2 linked regions of the Oryctolagus cuniculus genome follow. The protein of the gene in region 2 interacts with the protein of the main gene of each other region in a biochemical or structural test. Links are inferred from orthologs where the notes say so. Each region holds a gene or a part of one and is shown on either strand. Other genes may lie near its edges.

Region 1 (3,517 bases), on a different chromosome or scaffold from region 2:
GACTAGAAAAGAAATCTAGACTCTCTGGTGAATTTTATAGTCTTCAAACTGTGTGACAATACATTTGATTTTTTTAAAAGATTCTATGTATTTATTTGAGAGGTAGAATTACAGACAGTGAGAGGGAGGATGGAGAAAAGGTCTTAGATCCACTGGTTCACTCCCCAAAGGGCCACAGTGATCAGAGCTGAGTTTATCCAAAGCCAGAAGCCAGGAGCTTCCTCTCGGTCTCCCACCTGGGTACAGGGGCCCAAGGACTTGGGCCATCCTCTACTGCTTTCCCAGGCTGTAGCAGAGAGCTGGATCGGAAGAGGAGCAGCTGGGACTCGAACCAGCGCCCATATGGGATGCCGGCACTGCAGTTGGAGGATTAACCTACTGCACCACAGCGCCAGTTCTAACATATTTGATTTTTACAAAACAAAATATATTTTTGAGGAGTCACTGATTATACTTCTGATTTCAAGAAGGTTTCTCTCTCAGTCCATTTCTTATATATTGCCTTAACATGTGCCTTAGTAAATTATAAACCCGATGGTCACTGACATTGTGAAGAAAGCACAGTTTGAGGGGCTCGAGCTCATTCCTGTACACTCTGCTCTCCTGTAGTCATTCTCACACACTTCCTTGCCCTTGTAGCTCAGTGTCTTAGGGGTTTCTTTGACACTTGGAGAAAGGTGTACATTACTCCATATTGATGCTTCGTGCACAGAAATGTGAATCTGGTGGGTCAGATGTTGCTAGCAGGGCAGGCTGCTTGCTGTTGAAGATGAATTGCCCGTTCTGCCCTCCAGGTGACTTCTGAGCTAATGATGTATGGGAGTGTTGTAGGACACAGATGCTGGGGTGAACACAGTCCCAAGCAAAGTTTCTCAAACCAGGGGAGGGGCTGATGTGACTGACAGGACCTGATCTATCGTTACTCCCTCTGGCACCTGCTTTCATGTACAACACACTAGGGTCCTCTGGAATATAGAACCGTGTACACACCCAAAGGTGTAGCAGGTGAATGGAGGAATAGCAGCATCAACTTAAAACAACTGTTAGCCTTTGAAATGTAAGAGTATAAAAAGGATGTACTGTTGGGGCCAGCGTTGTGGTGTAGCGGGTAAAGCTGCTGCCTGCAGTGCCGGCATCCCATATGGGCACAGGTTCGAGTCCCAGCTGCTCCACTTCTAATCCAGCTCTCTGCTGTGGACTGGGAAAACAGTAGAAGATGGCCCAAGTCCTTGGGTCCCCGCACCTGCGTGGGAGACCCAGAGGAAGCTCCTGGCTCTTGGCTTCGGATCAGCACAGCTCCGGCCTTGGCAGCCAATTGGGGAGTGAACCATTAGATGGAAGACCTCTCTCTCTCTCTGCCTCTCCTCTCTCTGTGTAACTCTGACTTTCAAATAAATAAATAAACCTTTAAAGAAATGATGTACTGTTAAAATATAAAGGACATGTTTATAAGGTTCAAAATATCATCTGATAAACACATTTGCAGTTTTTCCACAAAGGAAGTTTTCATTAGAATAGAGATTCATACAGTGTTTGTCATCATACTGCAAATAAGATGACCAATTTTACTCACAATATTTAACTCTGATTTATATAGTTTTGTGACATTTCAATATTGTGATAGTTTGAAATTTATGTCTTTGAAAAACACTTCAGCACTTCTTTTTCTTTATATTCAGACTCTTTCAAATTCTAGGTTAGATTTTATGAGTTGTGTTTATGGTTCGATTTATGAGTTACTTAAGATAAAAAGTGGGTTTATCCCTTAAGAATGAAGATGTATCTTAGGGCCAGTGTGTGGCATAGCAGGTAAAGTCATCTCCTGAGATGCCAGCACGCCAAATGGGCACCAGTTCACGTCCCAGCTGCTCCAAGTCCAGCTCCCTGCTAATGGCCTGGGAAAAGCAGCAGAGGATAGCCCAAGAGCTTGGGCCCCTGCTATCCATGTGGGAGACCTGGACGAAACTCCAGACTCCTGGCTTTGGCCTGGTCCAGCCTTAGCTGTTACAGCCATCTGGGGAGTGAACCAGCAGATGGAAGATCTCCCTTTCTCAGTCTCTTCCTCTCTTTCTGTAAGTCTGACTTTCGTATAAAGAAATAAATCTTTTTAAAAATGTAGATGTGTCTATCCTTTCTGACCAAAGAACATTGGAGAGGAGGAGGCAGGCTTAACAAGCAAGATGAGATGCTGGCCCAAGGTACAGTGGCTGTTTGTGTGCAAAAAGCTGGAGGGGCAACTCGAGCAGAAAGAGAAGGAAAACGCGGCTCAAAAAACTAGTTTATTTTGATATTCAAAAGCTATTGCCACTCTGCAATAACAGTTTCAAGAAATCCACATAATTTCTTTTCAATTCTTATTACCATACATCTTTTTGTCCACATCGCACTGATAAGCTGATCAACTTGACATGTGTCCAGATCAACATGGATCTGTTGCAGAAAGTAAATGGTGATTGATTTTAAGGCATAAATAATTTTCAGTTTATTGCTGTTATTTTGTTTTAAGATTTTATTTATTTATTTGAGAGGTAGAATTATAGACAGTGAGAGGGAGAGGCAGAAAGGTCTTCCATCCGCTAGTTCATTCCCCAGCTGGCTGCAATGGCCAGAGCTGTGCTGATCTGAAGCTGGGAGCCAGGAGCTTCTTCCAAGTCTCCCACGTGGGTGCAGGGGCCCAAGGACTTGGGCCATCTTCTGCTGCTTTCCCAGGCCATAGCAGAGAGCTGAATTGGAAGTGGAACAGCTGGGACATGAACCGGTGCCCACAGGGGATGCTGGCGCCTCAGGCAGAGGATTAATCCACTGTGCCACAGCATCGGCCCCTATTGCTATTATTTTGATACCGCATTTAACCATTTGTATATGACTGTTGACTCTTCTTGTTCCACAGGATTGCCATCGGCCAGTTTGGCTGCCCCTAACCTCACTGTGGAGGAAGGAAAATCCATCACGTTGTCCTGTAACGTGGCAGGTGACCCGGTTCCTAATCTGTACTGGGATGTCGGTAATCTGGTTTCCAAGCACATGGTAAGACTTGGGCTTGGCTCTCTCTGTGTGAGTAGAGAAGACAATAGGTGTTTCAGAACTCAAGATTGAATTAAGCCTCATGATGCTCATTTAATAGTTTACATGGAAATTTATAAGTTTATTTATTCTTAACCAGCAAAGATTCATGCTGGCTTGCATTGTAGTTATAAACTGGGGACTCTTTCTATCCCCGATGACCTCTTTGTGTGAGTGAGCAAGGTGAATGACTCTGCTTGTGGCATTTTCCCTTTGAGAGAGGTAGATGGGAATTCAAGGATTAAGTGAGCTTCACACAGTATGCACTTTGTACCTAGATCAAGACAATATCAATAACAATGACAATGACTGCCTCTGGCCTGAGTTTGATTCAAGCAAGAAGCTTTTCTGATTATATCTATCTTTATCTCTACTTATAGATAGATAGATGGGGGAAAAAGACCCTCCATATCTTGTTGTTGGGTGTGAATCCTAATGAATGTTTTTGTCTGTT
Region 2 (3,517 bases):
GTCTCCTACATCAGCCTCCGGGCACTTTCACAGGCTGCCCGTGTTATTTCTCAGAACCCCCAGGAAGGCCCCCTGGCCCCCCTAGTTCCCCTCCCGGGGGGGCAGGGGTGGCGCGGGAGTGGCTGCACTTATCCACTCCCCAGTAACCTGTGCTGAGTCCCACTGCTTCCACTCCACAAGACTGCCAGGAGCCACGGGGCCGCACAGCACTATGTGGACAGCTAAGAGGTGACTGTCACGCAGCCCAGCACGCAAGCCCAGTGGGCCCCACCGCCCTCACCCCCCTCCAGGCTGCTACCCTCCACCCCAGCAATCTCAATCACTACACACCACCTTCCCGGAAACCCCTAACCCTATCTGATAGGAGGTGAGAGAGAGGCCAGCATCCCATATGGGCGCGGGTTCGAGTCCTGGCTGCTCCACTTCCCATCCAGCTCCCTGCTGACGCACCTGGGAAGGCAGTGGGAGACGGCCCAGTGCTTGGGCCCTGCTCCCACGTGGGAGACCTGGATGGAACTCGGGGCTCTTGGCTTCAGCCTAGTCCAGCCCTGGCCATCGTGGGAGTGAACCAGCAGACAGAACCCCCCTCTCTCCCCCTCTCTCTCCCTCTCTCTCCCTCTCTCTGCCATTCAGCCTTCCGAATCCACAGTTAAGACAGCTGCAGGTACAGGGGGACCTCGCCTCCAACGCCACGGCTGCAGAGCGGGCGCCGGCGCGGAAAGGCCTCCCCGCCTTGCACTAGAGCAGCCCCAGGGGCACCGGAGCGGGCGGCCCGCTCTGCCGGTGCGGAACTCGCAGCCCCGGCTCGGCCTCGGCCGCCGCACGCACGCACGCACGTGGGTGGGCCACGGTCCCGGCAAGGAACCCCTTCCCCTAAGACCTGTGCCCACGGGGGTGAGGGCTCTGTGGCCCGCCTGTCCTAGCCCTTCCCCAGGCACCTGGTGAGGCTGCAGGAGGCTCTGCCCAGCACATGCCGGCGCCACACCTCGTGCAGGGCGTACACAACCTGGAGACGGCGGCATCAGCGCCTATCACCCCAGGGACCGTCCCCCCAGGGACCACCCGCCATACTCACTGTAAGGTTTTCCAATTCTAGCTGTCGTACTGTGTAGTAGGACTTGATATCTTCAGAGACCAAGGTCAACTTCAGATTTGTGTCATCAAACATCATTTCTTTTTCTTCTCTCTGCGGCCAGTACTGCGCACATTTTAACTAGGGCAGGAAAACAGCAGGTTACCTCGAGCAGTGGACTGTGGCCCTGACGGGCGTGGTGGACGACCACCCAGAGGCCTGGGGACAGGCACAGCGGCGGGGCGCTGAGCACTGTGGGAGGGGACAGAAACAGCAGGTAGGCAGGGGCTGAGCCGCACAATGGCCACCCGATGACTCGGGGCCTCCCTTAATGCACCTGCACGGAGCCACAGGTGGCAGGGGCGGCTTCAGGGCCAGTGCTACAGATGTGCTGCGGGACACGGGGGAGGCAGGTGCTCGATTCCGGCCACAGTTCCAGGACAGCGATCAGAGAAGGCTCTGCGGGAGGCCGCCCAGGACTTCCCAGGGCACGGCTGCGAGGAGCCAGGCTCGGGGAGCAGCAGTGAGCAGGCCCAGCGGCCAGGGGACCTGCTGCAGAGGCTGCAGCCAGGGAGCGGCTCTCGGGAGGGTAAGATGGAGGCACAGGTGTTCGATGGTCCCTCTCCACACCCCAAGGCAAAAATCGAAAGAAAGTAAGAAAGAGCCCCAGGCTGTGAAGCTGGCGCAGGGCTCCTGGAAGAGTGCGGATGCGGCAGGCCAGGGCGAGTCTTGGCACTTTCAGCCCTGTCACCTCCACAAGCTGACCAGGAGCCGCCCATGCCGAGCCTCTGGAGTAGGCGGGACCAGTCTGTGGGTGCAGAAGCCACCCCGTCACCCAGGAAATGGAACGACGCACTATACAGCAAGACCCTTGGTGCCAGAGTGGACGGCAGCTGAAAACTAGACCTTTGAGGAACAGGACAGGATCCCCGCATTGCAACAAAGGGACGCTACAAGGCCTCAGACCCAGCCCAAGACGCTGCCAACAAGGCGGGCAGAGAGAAGGAGGGGCAGGTGCAGAACAGTCTCTCCCTGGGGGGCTGGGGAGCAGGCCACACCGCCTTTCAGCTCTCCACAGCACACACACACTGGCCAGACCAGAGCGGCACAACCTTTGCAATCTGCAGGGATCCTGGCACACGGCTAAGTGCTTGCCAGCCACAATTTATCTCTAAGAACTCTTCAGCAGCTGCAGTAACCTGCTCTATTCCACTGTCATTTCTGGCACAAAGCTTTTAAAAAAGATACAAGATGTAGAATGGGCACATGGCCGCCACCGCTGCTACCCCGCCACGCCGGGCAGCCCTCACCAGGCTCAAAGCAAGGCGCCAGAGAGGGGCTCGGCGGTGCCAGCAGGTGCACTGCCACTTCCACCATGAAGGCAGTCTCAGAGGGGCCTCGGGGCCTTCCAAAACAGCCAGACCCTCGTAAGGAAACTCCTAAGAATCTCACCCACGGGGACCCGGGTGGACGGTTCCGCTTTCCCAAAGAATGAAGCACAGAGTCCGGGCGCCGCAGGAAGCCCAGGGCAGCTGTGGCACAAAAGGCAGCGCCCTGCGCGAGCAAGCACCTGGAACCCAGCCGCCGCGTCGGGCCGCAGGAGCTCCGGCGGAAGCTCTGGAAGGGCGAATCCCACTCGCCCAGCAAAGACCGCCACGTGTTCCTTCCACACTGAGGCGCCTGACGCCAGCTTCCACAGGGAGCCAGTGAAGACCCTGGCCATTGGATGACCCCAGGCTAACGATCACCTCTGCATAACTGGGTTCCTGGACACAGGGGCCCAAAAAGCTAACAGGCAGGTGTGCCCCAAGCAGGAGGGGAGCGCCCTCAGTTACTGTGCGGGGCCAGCTGAGCCTGGACAGCGCTCCTGCCAAGCCGCCTGTCCCGCGGCTGCTGGGCGGTTTGTAGTCGGTCAGCTACCCCATCAGACCGGCACTCCTCAGGCCTCTGAGCCCCGAGATGGGAGTGATGATGGCGGCCGGGACCTGGAAAGGCCGATTCCACAGAAGCGTCAGGAAGCTCCCTGACCCACACGCCGCTTCTCCTGTCCACGGACCCCCGAGAAGGACGGCAAGTTCACACAGGAACACACACGCCGCGAGGAGCCGTGCGGCCATGCTTCCTTGCTGGCTGGCATGGCGGCCCGAGGACAAGGCTGTCGCTGTGGACCCCAGGTCTACTCACGGTCAGCCACAGGTAGGGGACAACCAGGAGCCGCGACCGCAGTGCTGGGCACGGCTCCGCGTTACAACCTGACAACAGCCGCTAAAGCAAGCTGTGGACTAACAGCAAAAAGGTTGTACCGGCTCCTTTAGCAACAGAGAAGCTAATAGGCAACAGTGCTGCGACGGCCGACGACGTCTGAATGAGCGTCTTTGACTAAAACTCCCAGCCCTAGAGCAGCGCTCTGAGCGGTGGGCAGCGGACGAAGTCTGGAGTCCAGCG

Evidence for each region. The genes of interacting proteins can lie anywhere in the genome.
Region 1: the proteins of PTPN1 (region 2) and NTRK2 form a complex in vitro, tested with the Homo sapiens proteins (2 studies listed by BioGRID, with this or other methods). The link is inferred for Oryctolagus cuniculus from reciprocal best matches to the Homo sapiens genes PTPN1 and NTRK2.

The regions. Positions count from the first base shown.
Region 1 is NC_091432.1:135,622,133-135,625,649, forward strand, and holds part of NTRK2 (BDNF/NT-3 growth factors receptor), read left to right. Parts: intron 1-2,890; coding exon 2,891-3,027; intron 3,028-3,517. UniProt on the Homo sapiens protein: Receptor tyrosine kinase involved in the development and the maturation of the central and the peripheral nervous systems through regulation of neuron survival, proliferation, migration, differentiation, and synapse formation and plasticity.
Region 2 is NC_091442.1:10,256,339-10,259,855, forward strand, and holds part of PTPN1 (tyrosine-protein phosphatase non-receptor type 1), read right to left. Parts: intron 1,214-3,517; coding exon 1,076-1,213; intron 1-1,075. UniProt on the Homo sapiens protein: Tyrosine-protein phosphatase which acts as a regulator of endoplasmic reticulum unfolded protein response. Mediates dephosphorylation of EIF2AK3/PERK; inactivating the protein kinase activity of EIF2AK3/PERK.